4 linked regions of the Schizosaccharomyces pombe genome follow. Changing the gene in region 1 together with any one later gene gives a genetic interaction. Each region holds a gene or a part of one and is shown on either strand. Other genes may lie near its edges. The genes, in order: sre1, lys4, pro2 and lys3.

What was found.
Region 2: mutations in sre1 (region 1) and lys4 together harm fitness more than expected from each alone (negative genetic interaction), as found in Schizosaccharomyces pombe (2 studies listed by BioGRID).
Region 3: mutations in sre1 (region 1) and pro2 together harm fitness more than expected from each alone (negative genetic interaction), as found in Schizosaccharomyces pombe (2 studies listed by BioGRID).
Region 4: mutations in sre1 (region 1) and lys3 together harm fitness more than expected from each alone (negative genetic interaction), as found in Schizosaccharomyces pombe (2 studies listed by BioGRID).

What each region holds. Positions count from the first base shown.
Region 1 is NC_003423.3:1,689,337-1,695,207, reverse strand, and holds sre1 (transcription factor Sre1), read right to left. Parts: upstream 3,815-5,871; 5' UTR 3,381-3,814; coding exon 678-3,380; 3' UTR 517-677; downstream 1-516. Other genes in the region: U4/U5/U6 small nuclear ribonucleoprotein complex subunit PRP38, read right to left, coding at 4,230-4,720, 4,919-5,060; fructose-bisphosphate aldolase Fba1, read right to left, coding at 5,765-5,871.
Region 2 is NC_003423.3:3,505,208-3,509,570, forward strand, and holds lys4 (homocitrate synthase), read right to left. Parts: upstream 2,342-4,363; 5' UTR 2,101-2,341; coding exon 844-2,100; 3' UTR 501-843; downstream 1-500. Other genes in the region: SPOM_SPBC1105.01 (rRNA-processing Rrp12-like protein), read left to right, coding at 1-188, 231-298; mrpl16 (mitochondrial 54S ribosomal protein uL16m), read right to left, coding at 3,079-3,726. UniProt on the Schizosaccharomyces pombe protein: Catalyzes the aldol-type condensation of 2-oxoglutarate with acetyl-CoA to yield homocitrate, the first step of the alpha-aminoadipate (AAA) lysine biosynthesis pathway.
Region 3 is NC_003424.3:2,026,687-2,030,595, reverse strand, and holds pro2 (glutamate 5-kinase), read left to right. Parts: upstream 1-1,728; 5' UTR 1,729-1,843; coding exon 1,844-1,898; intron 1,899-2,022; coding exon 2,023-2,321; exon of another isoform or gene 2,322-2,397; coding exon 2,398-3,252; 3' UTR 3,253-3,388; downstream 3,389-3,909. Other genes in the region: ER protein disulfide isomerase Pdi2, read left to right, coding at 288-1,367; cytochrome c-heme-linkage protein Cyc2, read left to right, coding at 3,633-3,909.
Region 4 is NC_003424.3:528,384-532,534, forward strand, and holds lys3 (saccharopine dehydrogenase Lys3), read left to right. Parts: upstream 1-1,895; 5' UTR 1,896-2,138; coding exon 2,139-3,245; 3' UTR 3,246-3,598; downstream 3,599-4,151. Other genes in the region: GINS complex subunit Psf3, read right to left, coding at 1-77, 184-242, 290-388; SPOM_SPAC227.17C (uncharacterized protein), read right to left, coding at 1,418-1,783; NLI-interacting factor-like phosphatase Psr1, read right to left, coding at 4,049-4,151. UniProt on the Schizosaccharomyces pombe protein: Catalyzes the NAD(+)-dependent cleavage of saccharopine to L-lysine and 2-oxoglutarate, the final step in the alpha-aminoadipate (AAA) pathway for lysin biosynthesis.

The sequences.
Region 1 (5,871 bases):
CTAAGTTCTTGAATCGACAAATAATAAAAGCGAGTCTATTTATTTTTATTTTAGGTTGTAGGATTCAGAATAAGTTAACCAATATAGTAGTAAATAATACATAAAAACAATTTGGTAGTTTGTTTACCTTTGGTGAATGGTTCGTATTACTCCCGAGATTTCAGTAAGGACGGAACTACGTACTGTACCGTAAAACTTCAGACCACTCTTATCTATCTTATGCATTTCCATTTTATTAATAATTGACATTCTTTTTTTTATACAATTGGTATAAAATGGATATCAGCAGTCTAAGATTCAACACATCTTCATCAACAGCAGAGAGTTAACTGCAAGAGAAGAATCCAATTTTTTAATCTTGCCAATGTGTCATTATTTAAAAAAATAGTTAGTTCGATGAACCTTAGCATGCCTCAAATTGTACTCTATTCATTTTATTTAATCACCAAATATACTCAAATGGTGAATTGTGCTAGCTTGATACAACAAAATAACTCTAATTGCATATTTTTATCACTGCTCTTACCGACGACAACTGTAATTTATTAAAAGAATAATTAAAACTAAAAAATGATACGCAAAATAACTGATGAAATAACAATCATGGAAAATAATAAGGTAGTTGCAATAGATGAGCGTTGTATACTAACTGTTCTCAAAGCTCGAGAATCGACAATTTAAGCTGATGAAACATAACCCAAATCTTCTTGTAAGCGAGATCCAATATCTATGCAAGAGTTGATTAACTTACGAGATAATTTCAAATCTTGAATTTTCAAAGTTCCGATGGCCGTCCGCACGTACATGGCCATCTTTTCAACGACATCGTTTTCCTTTGGAGATGTGCAAATAGGAGCAAAAGTGTTCAAAGCGGTCCAGGAAATAATAAAAGATAAAGGTGTAATGTCTGCATCACTATCAGGTACAAAGATTTCCTGATACATACGTTTAGAAACATCCCCGTATCCAAGGCGTTGGAGTGCTAATGATAGGCATGAGTGGAGTGTGAATAGCTTGGATAAGTTGATCTTTAACACGCTTGACTGCTTGCGTTTATCTTGGCTGCATAAATCCAAAGTGTTCTTGTATGCTGCAAGGACTTCATTCAAAGAATCAGCTGTATTCTCGGGGAACAAAACCAATTTAGCTAGTAAAGCATGACGAATAATAGAGGAGTTCTTAGGACAAAGGGAAATAATTTCCTCAATCTCGGATATCTCAACTTTACGGCTCAAACTTTCCATCAAAAGGGCATCCAACAAATCAGCGGCATACCATGAGGCAAGCACCTCTAGAGGAGATAAAACCAAAACATCAGATAAGGAGCTAATAATACTATCTGACATTTGAGCAGAGTCACGGGTGCACTTTGCTAGAACCCACAATCGCTCAACCATATTCGGAGAGAAAACGTCGTCAGCGTGGGAGTTTTCAATTAGGTTAGCAGTACACTCAGGAAGCTCACGTAACTCCGCGTGTACAGAACTTTTGCTATGTTGTTTCTTTGCAGCATTCCAGAAGAAAGCAACGCACTTCGAAACGATAGCGGATGGGACAGAGGTGTTGGAAAAAATTAGTTGGCAATACATTGCTTGTAAAGCACAAGTATGACTTGAAGGAGGAAGAGAAAATGAACTGGCAAATACCATTAAGAGCCTCAAACGGTCAACTTTAGCATCACCACCCATTAATTGGGCATCCAAAAGCTTTTCCATGTTGCGAACTTCAGCAAGTTGTTGCTCACTATAAACCCAATTCTCAGAGGAGGTATAAAGAGCACTCAAACGATGAGTCAAATAGCCATAAGCAGATTTAAGAGTGAAGATCAGTAATCCAAAAAATAGAGAAATAGTCGAAGTAGAATGGTCCAATAAACAATACTTTTCGAATACGGTTTTTCGGAATAAGATTGAGGATGGTGACATGGAAGATCTGGTACTAACTTTAGATTTCTTTTCACCCTTGAAGCCTTTGAAAAGAGAGTTATCGTGCAAAAGATAGAATAAACCGAGTAAAACAACACCAATTTTCAGCATGTTAAAGAGAACAGTACCTGTGAATGGAGACATAAGAAAAGGTGGAAGAGCGAATAAACCATAAACAGATTGAGAAGAATCGTTTCCAAAATAATTGAATAGACCAAGTCCAACCATGCCATTTAGTGCTGTGCGGCCCATGGTATTTAGGGTTGGGGAAGTAAAAGCTCTTTGGGTTAGGTTTGGTCGAGAAGATTGGTGAACAGAATAGTCAGATGAGGAAACAACATTAACAGAGTTAACGGCTCGAGTATCGTTAGAAGGAGGAGCCATCGAAGGATCTTCGTAGAAAGCCAGCCTATCTGAAAGCTGCTTGTTAGTCTTCTGTAGTTCCTTATTCTTGGCCTCCAAATGTCTGATATACTCAGTTGCTTTTGCCAATATTGTACCCTTGTTAAGCTTACGAGCGGGTGTCAAACCCCCCAAATCCTCATCGTCCAGAGAATTACCACAACGAAGTGCAGCAGCAGCACGAAGTGAAGGAACTGCATCACGCAATTCACAAATTCGGTCGTTCAAGTTGGTTCTGTATCTCTTCTCAATCATGTTATGAGCTGTCTTCTTTGGTTTTCCTCCAGGACCGGCTACAAAATCTGGGGTTTCAGAAGGAGATAATGAGCCTCTAGACTTGGGGGCCGAAAAAGGTAATGTTTCAGGAATTGAGCAAGAATCTTCCGAGGAAGGAGACAACTTTATTTTCTTGGCAGAAGGTTCAGGCTTGCAAGTGGTGTCCATGGGTGTAATAATTTCTTCGGTTTTCAATTTGACTTCTGGATTTGACATATCAGCTGAAGGATAATTTTGAACAGTCGATGGATCGATTGTATCAACAGAGTGAAGGATTTTCATTTGGCGCTGAATTTTATCATCGGCATCGAACTCATTCAATGATGGGCCGGTAAAGGTCTCATTCTGAAATGAATTTGGAGAGCCGCAATTAGAGAGAAGAGGATTTGTAGAGTTTTCTAACGAGTTAGGGGAGCCCATGTTGGTCGAAGTAAACAGAGGAGGCGCCGAGTTCATCGTATTGTCGAACGCAAAAGGGTTAAGCCAATTGCTCATTGATGACTCCATATCAGAAAGGGAAAACGAATGGGGAGACAACGAGGTGTTGGTCAAGGTTGGAGGTGAGTCCTCGACAATGCTAGCCAAATCACACAACAGATTGGAACAATTCTCCACAAAGGGAGTAGAAGTTGAAGCCTTTGTCGATGAAGCCAAAGGGGATGAAGAAGGAATCGCACCCACTGAATTGGGTGATTTGCTGTCAGGCGAAGCTTTTGTTGGAGTTTCCATTGCAGGAGAAGCGACCGACACGGAAACTGACGGAATTGAGCTTTGCATATTTAACAAAATTTCCAGCTAGAACCAAGCGGAATTTAACAGCGAGTTAAAAAATCCAACAATAAAGAGAAATTGAATTTAACTCTTAGGGTTTTTTATCTCTGTGACTGTATAGGATGTTGAGCGAATTTTCTAATCGAGCTACAAATTATCCAAAATTTGACGCATTAAAAGCTATCCAAGGCGATAGATAGCAAAATAATTTCTTGAATGAGTTGTAAAATAAAATAATGTTCTTAGCAAGAAGGAAATCCAGCTTGATAATCGTTTAAGATTAGGTTATAGCAAGAGTCGAGCGCAGTAAACAAACTCTCAGCAACAACCCAATTGTTGTCAATGAACTTATAAAGGCTACTGGACGTCCTATAAGTAAAAAAATTTAAAATCGATCACCCGATAAGCAAAGTTAGGATTGCTCGAGTATGGTAATGGATGAAAGAGAAAAGTCGTGTTAATTCATATGTGAGCAAAAAAGAAGTGGACTGACATGTTTTTAACGAAACGTAAGAAAATAGACGGAATGGGGTGATTCGTTAAAGTATGGTGTGAAAAAAATTCCGTGGCGTATCAAAGACATTTTATAAATATTTAGTGTGCTGTAAACTAAGTCTATCGAAATTTGTTTACAAGAAAAAATAGCGTATTTGCGATAATATGTGAAATCGATATATATTAATATACAAATCTATTTGATTAGATGTTTGTTATTCATAAATTGTTTTTTAATAAGTTCAAGTGTAAAACCATTTCAATCCATAACTTTTCCTTGTAGAGTCATTCCAAGTTAAATCGTAGACGCATCACAAAATGCGTGCTTCGCTTTACTCTTTTTTTGTATATTACTTATCCTTAAATATTCCGATCTACAGCACCTTCATTGCTCTCCAATTTACTAATTTGTTCTTCATCATCATCTTCTTCGTCTGAAGAAGATGAAAGTGGTTCAAGCAAGTCCAAATCTTCAAGTTGGAGTCGACTTCGCAATGGGGGCAGGGAAATATCGCAAACTACTTCGGCATTTAGCAAATCATCAACAACCTCATCCAGATATGTTAATCGGATCTCAGAATTAGTACGAATTCTTAATTTCCGATAATCTCTTAACAGCGGTTCCAACGTTTGATGCACTTCCACATCATCCCATGTAAGCCGAACGTAAAATGCAGCCAGGGCACGTAAATACTTGAATTCAGGAATAGATAGGTACTGTTGAATTATTTCTTTTTCAGGTGCAATTTGTAAAAGCTTGTATAACAAACAGATAAACTCGGTGGGCCGTTGATTTCCATACTGACCACCTATATATTCAAGCCGTACTGCACGATCCACCAATGAACAAGCTAAGATGTATTAGTCAGTGAATTTGGAATAACAGTTTGAGGACTGATTAAAACAGCAAGTACCTATACTTGGTTTCTTTGCTTGCCAAATCAAGTTCATTTAGGCTATATCACTCAAAATATCGATTTGGAAAGTAATCGTACTTGAACTCTAATATGTAAAAACACTTTCCTTTTCTGTCAATGAAGAACACATACCATTCAATCCAAAACATTGTTCTTTCCAGTAAATAGAATCTACTATGCGTTCTCTCAAGATTTTTCCTATAAGGAAAGTCGGCAGCATTTCATGCGCCGCCTCACCTTGAGAGCGATAATCTCTAGCAAGAAAATCAGCCATAGTACCTCATGAAGAGAATGATTGCTCCAACCTTGATGTCTTGACTTGGAGTAAGCTTTTAAGGAGCAGTAGTGTACTGACAATATAAGTGGTCAAGTCTGAAGAAGCATGCTGAGTTTTGATTGAGAAAGGGTTATCTAAAAAAAACATGGATTCGTGAAATATGGAGGAAAAGGGAAAATGCCCGTACTCATTGCAATGAAAGAAGAAAAAGTTGATCTACTAAACAATGCACACTGTGTACACAAAGCACATGAAATTCAAGCGATTATGTTGTTTTAAGCTACTCATCGAGATTTGCCAAACGATATATATTAAATTCAAATAAACGCACGGACATATTATTTATTCATTCATTGTCATGTGGAATCGGAAATTTTTTTTTTGTAAATTTATATACCTAAGAACACATTAACCAATTAAGGAAGATGAATAAAAGGATAAAAAGAAAAATCTTAACAATATACAGTATGCTTGAAAAACACTTTACAAATCCAATCCAAAAAAATTTCTTAACTTACTTTGCCCTACTTTACTTCAAATATCTCTTATGCTTTTACAATGGTAATTTTAAAAAACAATGTCTCTATATTCAAACACGTAATTTCAAAACAGTATGAACTCTCATTAAGGGGACAAAAAAATATAATTTTAATGAAGCCCACCGTCTATTCAATCATTTCCATCTTTCAAAAACCACAAATTTAGAGAGTGTTGACAGTGTAGAAGTCCTCAAGAGCGGTAAGAACACGCTTGGTCATGGTCTTCTCACCCTCATGGATCCAGACACGAGGGTCGAACTTCTTCTTGT
Region 2 (4,363 bases), 1.8 Mb from region 1:
GAATGAGACTGATAAAGAATGGTTGCAACGAATTTGGCGCGTACGTCGTTCAAGAGGTGATAAAAAAGTCGTGGATAATAAAAGGGATGCTTCCGATAGTGAAGATTTGGCAATCAAAAATCCTATGAACAAAAAAGCAAAAGTTGGTAAAGTGGATTTTCGAAAACACGAGAAGAAACTTAACAAAGGTATGTTTTTTTAATAAGAATCTTTGTTGACTAACATTTCAGCTTCTATGCATCGTGATAAATTTTCGACTGGGATGCACACGTCTAAAAGGGTTCAAAAAAAGAATTAAGGAAGAGTATATCTGTACGAATGCATAGAATGGATAATTTTAGGTGCCATATTTTTTAGAGTAATTTCATTTAAGAAAAATCACTGGTTACAAGGGGTTTAAATTATTTTTTACAAAAGGTAATAATAGGTTTGAAAAATTATATAAAAATACGCATTAACTTTACATAAAATGAAGTAGCAAGGAAGTAATTCCTTGAGCGTGCTAATATAAATTTTCAAATTAAAATATTTTATTTTAATAGAATAAAAACGATAAATAATGTTTGTCATATATCACCTTAAAACATAAAACGACCCAAAAGTAAAAGCAACCAGATATAACATTGCAATAAGGCTTGAAGCAGGAATAATTGTGATCTTTAAAAGAACACATAAAGAGAAAAAAACTTTTTTAATGATCAATATCAAGACACTACGTAAAAGAACCAGCACTTGCAACGAAAAAAAATTTTTTAATAGATATACATGCGAAACATATATACAATGCAAGCCAAGAAGAGAGGAGTTAAATTTTTAAAATTGGGGCTAATAATCACTTCCAATTTAAGCAGACGCTTCTTTGGTGATTCTATCAGCATCACTCAAGTCAGCATGGTATTCACGTAGAACACGATCAACATCATCCATGGCTAAAGTACGGACATCAGCCAATTTCTTGATGCGAACGGTAAGTTCCTTGGCTTGGGCATCAGTAAGATGAAGGTTAAGCTGCTCAGCACGAGATTTGATGGCATTCCAACCAGTCAAACGAGAGCCAACATGAACATAACGACTCATGCCAAAGTCCTCGGGCTTAAGAATTTCATATGTAGAAGGGTTAGCGAGAATAGCTTTAGCATGGATACCAGCCTTATGGGTAAAAGCACACATTCCGGTAATGTAATTGTTGAAAGGAATTTGAACTTCAACGGCATCAGCGACAAGGTTTTCAAGCTCACGTAACTGGTTAAGCTTGTATTTGTGGGTAATGTATTCCCTATCGGTGACATACATACGAGCCAACAAGGCACCAAGAGGAGTAATACCATTACGCTCACCAATACCAAGAATGGAAGTATCGATATGGGTAGCACCAGCTTCCAATGCGCAATAGGCATTAGCAATAGCCATACCAGTGTCATTGTGAAAATGACATTCAATATCACAAGAGACAACACCACGTAAGGTACGAATAAGATCGTAGACTTGGCGAGGAGTAGCGCAACCAACGGTGTCAGCAATACCAACACGGTTGACGCCAATCTTGTCTACAGCCTTGTAGAGAGAAAGGAGATCGACAAGATCAGAACGGAAAGAATCCTCAGATGAAAAGCGGACTTCAATACCCTTGCTCTTGACAAAGTTGATAACTTCGGTAGCGCTGTCAATAATGTAAGTCATGTCCTTTCCATGGGAATATTTGCGAAGATATTGAGAAGTTCCGATAACAACATCAACACCATCAACTCCAGTCTCAACAGCGACACGAGCGTCATCCATATGACAGCGAATATGAGTTAAAATTTTACACTTTAAGCCCAATTTGCAAATAGCTTCGCAATCTTGGCGGGACTGCTCAGAAGCCACGGGAGAAGTCAATTCAATGTAATCGACACCAAAGTTGTCCAATGCCTTAGCAATTTGAATTTTCTTCTCGGTGTCGAAAAAAGCGTTTGCGAATTGCTCACCTTCACGAAGAGTAGACTCAATAATGGAAAAGTTATTGACACGTGAAAGAAAATCAGATGGGTTGGGACCATAAGGGTTTCCATTCATAGGAGGCTTGATGGTCTCAGTACCATTAGCTTCGGACACAGACATGTTGATGACTTTAAAATGCAAAAAAAGGAAAAGGAAAAGCGAATTTTCTAAAATGAATTAAGTATAAATATATAAATTATACAATTCAACAACTTATTGTCCCGAAACCTGTTAGCTTTGAATTTTTTAAGCTAAATCTTTTATCACTGTAGAGGAGACAACTAAGAGCAAGGATGCACGTATGTATGAATTTCAAAAAATTCGACCCTACCCTATTTATTTACTGAAAGAAACAGTCACTACCAACTCGTAGGCAACCGCGGTAATTTATGGTAGAAAATTGATTTACAGATCCCGATCGATCTTGATGAGATTTAATCAGATCTATGGTAGTAATGATTAAGTTACTGATCCACTCAACAGTGGATTGCTAAGCTAGGTTCTAGAAGGTATAGTGATTTTTTTTGTAAACGTTGTAAATATTTTAGTGGAGTTGATTTGAATAATTTCATTCGTAATTCCATAGTAAAATCAGTTTCATATTATTTAAAGTGTACTTTTTGATTCACTTCATGATTTCGCACATATACAACGTGCCGTTTTTTACATCCCGAAAAAAAGTCCCCAACGGAGCAGAGAGCAGCAAATAAGATTTTCGCCAAAAACACTCATTACCGTTACCAACTTTTCAGGACCAAAGAAATTTGATGTTTTAACGAAATTGCCGAGCCGTAATCAAAGTGAATCAAAAGTGGTTCATATTTCGCCAACAAAAATTAAGCAACTCTCTCATTGGGGATGAAAGTTCCCATTTCGAAAATAGATAATGAAACATAGCGCAAAATGTACAATGTTTTAAGGCATTTCTGGCAAATTTCATTCACTAAAACATAGAATAACTACAACGATTGAAAAGAAGCTCATGAATGTCTGTACAAAGATGCAGCATTAAGTTCACAAACTAAGTAAGTGAGAAGTATGACAGAAAAGTAATTATTGAATGGGTTAAAAATAGATAAATTCAGCTTAACTTTTCCCTTAAACAGCTGTAGTAGTACTGGTAATTTCCTGATAGTTCATTTTGCTTGTCTCGGTGGTAATGGGGGTTTCATGAATCAGTGTGGTACCCAATCTTTTGGGGGTTTGCTTGACGATAATCTCATACTTGCCTGGAAGGTGAAAAGCGGCTTGCTTCAATGCATGCTCAGCTAACTCTTTACGCATTCCATCACCACCAATTTCAAAAAGTACACGACCGATTGGTATCCGTGCAGCCCAGTATTCAAAAGCTCCTTTGCCTTTGCCCATACGAGTTTCATTTCCTTTTACGCATACTGGCACATTGCAACAAAAACGTGTGTATACCCGAGCAGCCTTGATAGGTTTTAATATACGCTTGAGAATCTGTTCGGCAGTTTCGAGTTGCTTGGCATGAAATCTTATACTTCGATCTTTTAATCGCATACCATATTCTCCCCATTCAAGTTGAGTACCACGTAGTGAACCTCCTATGGGTATAGGGACTCTTCCTTTCTGAGCTTTTTGGTTTCTGATGCTTCTGGGTGCATACTGGTGTCCCCAACGAACCATCGTTTGGATAGGCGGCATTTGTAAACCATTCAACCTCGTAGGTCCTAAAATACCAGAAAAAAAGAAAGGAAATTTATTGTATTGTTGTAAAGCCATATTATATAAGTTTTTATGTTGTGAGGGTTTCAAAAAGTCATAAAACAACGTGTTTTTATTATCATGCAAAAGTCGTTCTTTAAAGTTACTCAGAAATATTCAAAATAATCAAATTTAAGTATTATATTTCTTTTTTTATGGGAAAATGGTAACAATAGTAACGATAATAGGCCTGCTATTTTTTGTATGAGAAGGGGGTTAAAGGATACTTGGATTCTGTATGTGTTGCTGCCACTTATCCTAACTAAGTTCCGGGAAGAAGCCGGACAATAACTGAACATTAGCTATAATTATTTATTTGTTTGTTTATTAGTTTGTAAAAAAAAAAAAAAAAATTATCTTAAGCATTAGGCAAAAAAGATTATTTTCATAGATACTGAATTTAACGTGCGTTTTATGCTCAACACATTATTTGATTCAGCATCATCATTTCAATGACAACAATGCGTGAATAGAAATAAAACAGTGACTATTTTAGCTATTTCAAATAATATACTTAGCTCATTTCTTGTCAAGGAATTCTTGTCCTTGAAGAATAACAAAACGTTCAACTGTTTAGTGCCTCAGTATTGGTATTTGGAATGTTAAGACTGTCTTAAAAAAATCTTCTGATGTACGTTTATAAACCATTAGAAGG
Region 3 (3,909 bases), on another chromosome or scaffold:
GTTCAATCAATAATTTGTAGGTCTTAAAATGCGTTCATGGATGCGCTAGCGATATAAGCTTACCAAAGTGTGGAATAAAGAATACAGTGACGAATGAAGCTACTAAATAGTGCAATTTAGTGAATATTCCTTTTGTTATAGATAGGTAACATGGGTAACGATGCTCAGTAAGCTCATTCAAACATGACACAGCCGGCTTCGTACAGCTTACATTACCCAACGACATATACATACTTTTGTTGTACCTGTCCCGTATTTGTGGACACTGGAAAAGTAGAATACTTAGAATGAGATTACCTCTGCTGAGTTTTGTTATATTTGCGCTTTTTGCGCTTGTATTTGCATCAGGTGTTGTAGAGCTCCAAAGTCTCAATGAGTTGGAGAATACTATCCGAGCTTCTAAAAAAGGAGCATTGATTGAGTTTTACGCCACCTGGTGTGGACATTGTAAATCTTTAGCGCCAGTGTATGAAGAACTTGGCGCTCTTTTCGAAGACCACAATGATGTCTTGATTGGCAAAATTGATGCGGATACACACTCCGATGTTGCTGATAAATACCACATTACTGGTTTTCCAACACTGATCTGGTTTCCTCCTGATGGATCTGAACCAGTTCAGTACTCCAATGCTCGCGACGTTGACAGTTTGACTCAATTTGTGTCTGAGAAAACTGGTATCAAAAAACGCAAGATTGTCCTCCCTAGCAATGTAGTTGAGCTCGATTCTTTGAATTTTGACAAGGTTGTTATGGACGATAAAAAAGATGTTTTAGTTGAATTTTATGCGGATTGGTGCGGTTATTGCAAGCGTTTGGCTCCTACTTACGAAACTCTTGGCAAGGTATTCAAAAACGAACCAAACGTTGAGATTGTTAAAATTAATGCAGACGTCTTTGCTGACATCGGAAGGCTACATGAAGTTGCAAGCTTTCCCACCATCAAATTCTTTCCTAAAGATGATAAAGATAAGCCTGAATTATACGAAGGAGATCGTTCTTTAGAATCTTTGATCGAGTACATTAATAAGAAATCTGGAACTCAACGTTCTCCCGATGGCACTTTACTTTCTACTGCCGGCCGTATTCCAACTTTCGATGAATTTGCTGCTGAGTTTTTGGATATGTCAAACGCTGCCAAGGAAGTTGTTCTTGAAAAAGTCAAGCAGTTAGCCTTAGAGGATTCATCTAGATGGACTAAGTATTACAAGAAGGTTTTTGAGAAGATTTTAAATGATGAAAATTGGGTACATAAAGAAGCTAAGCGTTTGTCTAAACTTTTACGCCAGAAGAGCATCGCTTTGGCCAGTGCTGATGATTTTAAAACTCGCCTTAACATTCTAAATTCCTTCCTTCCTGGTAATCACTAGTGATTTGGAAATGTTTGCTACGTTATAGGTGAAAAAACTTAATCTTATGACCGTAGGTTTATAAATAAATCAACAGTTTCATGATATTTTCGATAAATACTGAGGAATATGTAGGTTAAAGTATTACCCTTTAACAATTTTTTATGTACTTATAAAAATAGATTTTCTCTCCATTAATGATTTGTGTCTTTTTTAGTTTCTACGTATATGATAAACTAAAGACAATAATTAATATTAAATAGAACGTTGTAGGTAAATTCAACAGCTATATACTCTAACAGGCTTTTATCCTTAAAATTGAAATCCAAATCCTACATATAATTATTCCTTATCAATGGGCTATAAGGCTTTCCGTTATTTTACCACTACTAGATGGGCCGTTGATTTGTAAAGGTGAAGACAAGTCGTATTCCACTAAAATTTATCCTTTTTTTAAAAAATAAATTTCAACAGTAACTTTGTAGATTTTTTTTAAAATGTCTCCGAAGTCGAAAAGCACAAATAAGACTTACACAATTGTCATCAAACTTGGTAAGCACGGAATAGTAAGCTATACAAAAGCATATGTATGAATTTTATATCTCACTTTTTCAAATATGTATTTCTTTGTTTGCTCGTTGTTGGCATCACAAACGCTTTGCTAACATTATTTTAGGCACATCGTCAATTTGTGATGAAAAGACTCATGAACCATTAATTTCAAATTTGTCACTAATCGTTGAAACCGTTGTCAAGCTTCGAAAGTTGGGTCATAATGTCGTTTTGGTTTCAAGTGGTGGTATTGCAATGGGCCTTCGTAGATTAGATTTACCTAAGCGTCCTTCAAAGCTTTCTGCTGTACAAGCAATTGCCGCGGTCGGTCAAGGAAGACTAATTTCCTTATGGGATACCTTATTTACACAACTTCGTCAGCCTATTGCGCAAGTTTTAATCACTAGAAACGACATTGCCGAGGTAAGATTCAGATAATTATTGTTGACACTTAAAAAATTATTTTAATTACTGACGGGTACTAACTATTAATATTTAGAGATCCCAATATGTAAATGCAGCGAACACAATTTCCGAGTTGCTACATTTTGGGGTAGTTCCCATTGTAAATGAAAATGATACTCTGTCTGTTCAAGAAATCCGTTTTGGTGATAACGATACTTTATCGGCAATTACAGCTGGCATGATAAACGCAGATTATTTGTTTTTACTTACAGATGTTGATTGTTTGTATACAGACAACCCACGTACCAACCCTGACGCTAAGCCTATTTTAAAAATTCATGATACATCAATGGTAAATGCAAACGTTTCCACACCCGGTAGTGGAGTTGGAACAGGGGGAATGAAGACGAAATTGATCGCTGCAGATTTGGGAACGTCTTCAGGCGTAAATGTTATAATATGTCGTGGTTCTAAACCTTCGAGTATATTCGATATAATCCGTCAGGAATCCTCTGATAATAAAAATGAGTCAGTTGAATTACCTCTGCATACCCACTTTGTAGCCAAAAAGCAAGGAAGGATCCGTGATCGACACTTTTGGCTTTTGCACGGCCTTAAATCACATGGGAGTTTGGAAATTGATCGTGGGGCTTTCGAGGCTATAACCCGTACAAATAGAGCAGGATTACTACCAGTTGGTGTAACCAAAGTACATGGCCATTTTTCAGCTCACCAAGCAGTTACGGTTATTTACAACGGAGAGGAAATTGGCAGAGCCCTTGTTAATTACAGCAGTACTGAAATAGATTTGATTAAAGGCAAGAGAAGCAAAGAAATTGCATCCATCTTAGGATATAACGAAACTGAATATGTCGCCTACAGAGACTATTTAGTAGTTCATGGTTTAAATTCTCATCATGATTCACAAGTTAGTTCTGATGAGCATTGATGTATATATTTAATCACTAGCTTATTTAGAACTACTAAAATTTGTTTTTGCTCTGTTTTTTACCTTTATTATTGGCTTACTGTTATTGAAATTTTTTTGTTATAGAAGGAAGGTTTACGAACTTAATATACAAAAACAGAACCATAAATATCTATTAGAAAATTTATTAAGATTTGTTTATTTTTGTTAAAAAACTATTAACCTTAGATAATAATCAGACGTTTTGTACTGAGTTGTGTAATTAACAAAGTACATTTTGTTGGTATTATATCGGATACTTCCTACGAAGCCTGTGATTGGATTTGGCTTTCATAAACGATGAATATAAGTACACGCAATTCCAACCTCCCCTTGATACAGTAAAACTTACAAAGAAAACAATGAGTAGCTCGACTTACAGGAAATTGCCTAAAATCTTAGCTGCAGGTCTTGCTATTGGTTGCGCAGGTGGTTATTATGCTTATAAAAATTCGAATAAGCCCCCAGGACTTAATCCCGAAATTTATGCTCCATTTACAGTTAATAAAATTACAGAGCTTACATCCGATGCTAGCTTGTTTTCGTTAGTTCCTCAGAGCCCTTCTGAACACCTTACTACTTTGGAACCGATTGCTAAGGTAACAATTCGTGATCCCAGTATGCAAGTCCAGAGACCAT
Region 4 (4,151 bases), on another chromosome or scaffold:
CACTATTAGGATTCGCCTTTAATGCATTTCGTACTACAGAAGAAAATGGTGCTGGCATATGAATACTAACAAAAGAACTATAAAGTAAGCAAATAAGCAAAATTATCCAATTTTCTATAAGACATTACATGTATATAATGTAACATGCAGAAAAAACCAAAAAAAAAAAAAAACTTTACTTACTTAATTGCTAAAACCTCTGCCAGCCAAAAAGGAAGTTCAACTTTAGAGCCCGTAGGAACCTAAACTGTTTAGAAAGTCAAGTTCTATTTTTATAAACTTCACTAACCATACGCCCTTCATGGCCTAGTCCTGGAATGGAAACTGTACTAGTACATGGAACCTTTTGATTTTCAGACAAGATACTATCAATATCATAGTAATCCATTTTTTTAATGTCTGAGCAGAAGGAATGATAGAAGTGTTATTGTTATTTTATCAAAATATGTTCATTTAGAAAAGTTGCAGTTACAAGGTAAAAGTAGGTAGATGCAACGATAAATTCAAATTTGAGTTGGCTAAGATATAGTGGATAAATAATGAACTGTAATTACACCAGTACTAATCAACAAAAAAAATAGAGATAAAAAAGATTTATTTTTACTTTTCTTAACAGAGCATCTAGTTCAAAAAATTAGTGCTGATAAATATTGTATGTTCGAGTACTAAAAATTTGCTTCAATGTTTAACTCGAAAAGTATGTCATACATGTGTATATTCGTCCTTCTGAAATTGGTCGAAAAATTTTATTAAAAAAAGGAAACTTTGTTCTATAGTTTCATTAAAGAAACGCATATGCTTGTTTGAATGTTATACCTATTTATGAAACTTGCTCATTATGCGATCAAAATTTACACAATCTTTCCGTAAAACTGATTTTTTTAAATGATTTTTAGTCCGTAATCTACAAAACATGATTGCATTGTATTCAAAATTATTTTGCGTATTAATTATTTAGTATGTCATTTCCAAATGCAAAAAGGTTTTAACACCGACATAGGCCAAATTTCATAAGTTATTCGCCAAGTTTCATCAACAGGTTCATCAAGTCATATACGCTTTAATCCATACTTTAGATGTCAACACCTTCGAGTTTATCAGCAATCTTTACCTGAGTAAATAATCAACCTGCTGCCAAACAATGTTGTAAAATCAAAGCAACAATTTGTTGTTCGTTTAATTAGTTACTCATAAAATTAAAGAGAACTCAGAGTTTACTTGGAAGGTAAATTAAATAGAAGTACCCCGCCAACTATAAACAATTAGTTTCAAAGGTTAAGCAGACTAGGATATACAGGAACTTTACATCCAAGACATCATCAAATATGCTATTCCCCCAATGTTATACGCAACAAATGGATGCCTTCGTAAGAATTGATATCGACGTTTGGTGAACACAGCACGAAACGTTAAAAACTTATTCACTACTTTTTGGAGAAGTACGCATCTTCCAAATGTCTTCACTATTCGGCCCTTGCCTAAACTTCATCCACTGCTGAAGACGCCGCTTACGAAGCCCTTCTTGAGCCTCTTCGTGAGCCTTCGACTTGGTTGACAGACACCATTTAAAGTCTTTAAAATTTCCCTTACATCTGTTGTATTCACCATAACGATAGTAATGATTCATTTGTGAGAACACTGTTAAACACATGGCCATTTGGTCAAAGTAATACTGTAAACTACACGGATCCTCAGGAATCCCTTTTTTCAAGTCGAGTATTTTATCTAGTTCCGCATACTGACCAAAAGTGCTTTTTTCATCATTTTCTTTAAAATTATTCATTATTTAAAAGCATACTAGTAAAAATCAAGTGAATTGTGCCTAGGATAGGTAGCTAACGTGACTGCCACTGAACCTGTGTAGCGTATTAGATCCATCAAGATCCCTTCTGCTCATATCATTGCTGATCTGTAAATTGACCGCATCAAATTTGATCTCATTTATATCGAGATTGATCTATATTATTTTGCCAATTTGCAGTATATAAACTTATTTGATTAAGTTTTTGGTCTCCTTCGCCACGTCTTCATTTTGTTAGTTTAAATTTTTTTGACTAACTTAGAAAGGGAAGTTTTTAAAAACGTTGAAATACTTTTTCGATTTAAAAATATATATTTAATTAATTTTCTGTTCCAAAATGGTTGCTCCTCATCTTTGGTTACGTGCTGAAACCAAACCTTTAGAAGAGCGCAGTGCTTTGACTCCTAGAACTGCCAAGATACTCGCCGATGCTGGATTTCAAATTACCATTGAGCGCTCTTCCCAACGTGCTTTCAAGGACAAAGAATTTGAGCGCCTTGGTTTCCCCATGGTTCCTGAGGGCTCATGGCGACATGCACCTAAGGACGCGTACATTATTGGTCTCAAAGAGCTTCCGGAAAATGATAACAGTCCTTTGAAGCATACTCATATTCAATTTGCTCATTGCTACAAAAACCAGGAAGGTTGGCGTGAAGTCTTGTCCCGATTCCCCGCTGGCAATGGTCTTCTATATGATTTGGAATTTTTGCAAGATGACAATGGCAGACGTGTTGCCGCTTTTGGTTACCACGCTGGTTTTGCTGGATCAGCTATCTCATGTTTAGTTTGGGCACATCAATTATTGCATCCTAACAAACAATTCCCTGCTATCCGTCCGTTCCCCAACGAAAAATCTTTGGTTCGCCATGTTGCTCGTCAAGTACGTTTAGCTTTGAAAAAGAATAACAACCAGTATCCTCGTATTCTGGTTATTGGGGCTCTTGGTCGTTGTGGTACTGGAGCGTGCGATTTAGCATCAAAGATTGGTATTCCCTTCGATAACATTCTTCGCTGGGACATTAATGAAACTAAGAAGGGTGGTCCCTTTACCGAAATTACGGAATCAGACATATTTGTTAACTGCATTTATCTGAGCATGCCTATTCCCAAATTCTGTACCGTCGAGTCGTTAAATGTACCTAACCGTAAATTGCGTGTTGTTTGTGATGTTAGCTGTGACACTACCAATCCTAACAATCCTATTCCAATTTATAATGTAAACACTACATTTGATCATCCTACAGTTGAGGTTAAAGGTGTCACAACTCCTCCTCCTTTAGAGGTCATTTCTATTGATCATCTTCCTACTTTATTGCCAAGGGAATCTTCCGAAGCATTTAGTGAAGCTCTAATTCCTAGTCTTTTGGCTTTGAAGGACGTCGACAATGCTCCCGTTTGGGTCAGAGCTAAAAAACTTTATGAAACCATGGTTCAAAAGCTTTAAAATAAATGTTATTTAATTTCAAAGTTCCGGGTCCTTTATATTGTTTCACCAAATTATTGAATATTATTTTCTCAAAAATTAACTTTAGAATACAATTTAGACGGCATTTTCGATGCTCTGGACATTTTTTCCACGTACTTGTTAAATTGTAGCGGTGTTGCATAATACTACCTTTTGATTTGTTATTCACGTTACAATATATATTTGACTAATTTAAATATGATAATATACACATTTCTCTGCAAACCTCCTTTATACTTTTCGCCGGTCATTGATTAATAATTAAGAAACAGGATTTCATCCTGCATTTGCCACTTACCTATATGGTAAATATAAATCTTGAAACTTTCCCCAATATTTATTGCTTGCCTTACGAAGTTAAATTATAGGCACAGACATCTTTGGCATTGGAAAGATTTAGTAACAATCATAATGTAGCACTTCTTAAAAAATCTAATTTTAGAACAAAAAGGCTTAAAAAAGAATGGTTCCGCTCTTTTAAAAAATAGTAAAATGTACAATAGCAAGGTTTTCGTAGGTCGACGGACATAACAAGGGGAAAGAGAAATAAAGCATGTAAACGTCAATAAAACATCTTTGATTCTGGATCAATCATATGCCAAATGAAGAAAAATAGCATTTATAACAACATGAAACCATATTTGAGACCTTTTAACGATGAAAATTTATTAAATAAAAGATAAAAAAGAAAGAAACCGTTCAAGTTCAATGAAAATTTCGTCGTGAAGTAGAAACCAAGATAATGGAAAGGCTTCGCAAAGCCACAAATTTTCCAATAGTCATTATAACTGAAGATTAAGGACAGTACTAACATCTGGAACACGAGCAAGATGTTCAAGAAATGGAATTAAATCGATTAATTCCATATCGTGCATATCGTTGAAC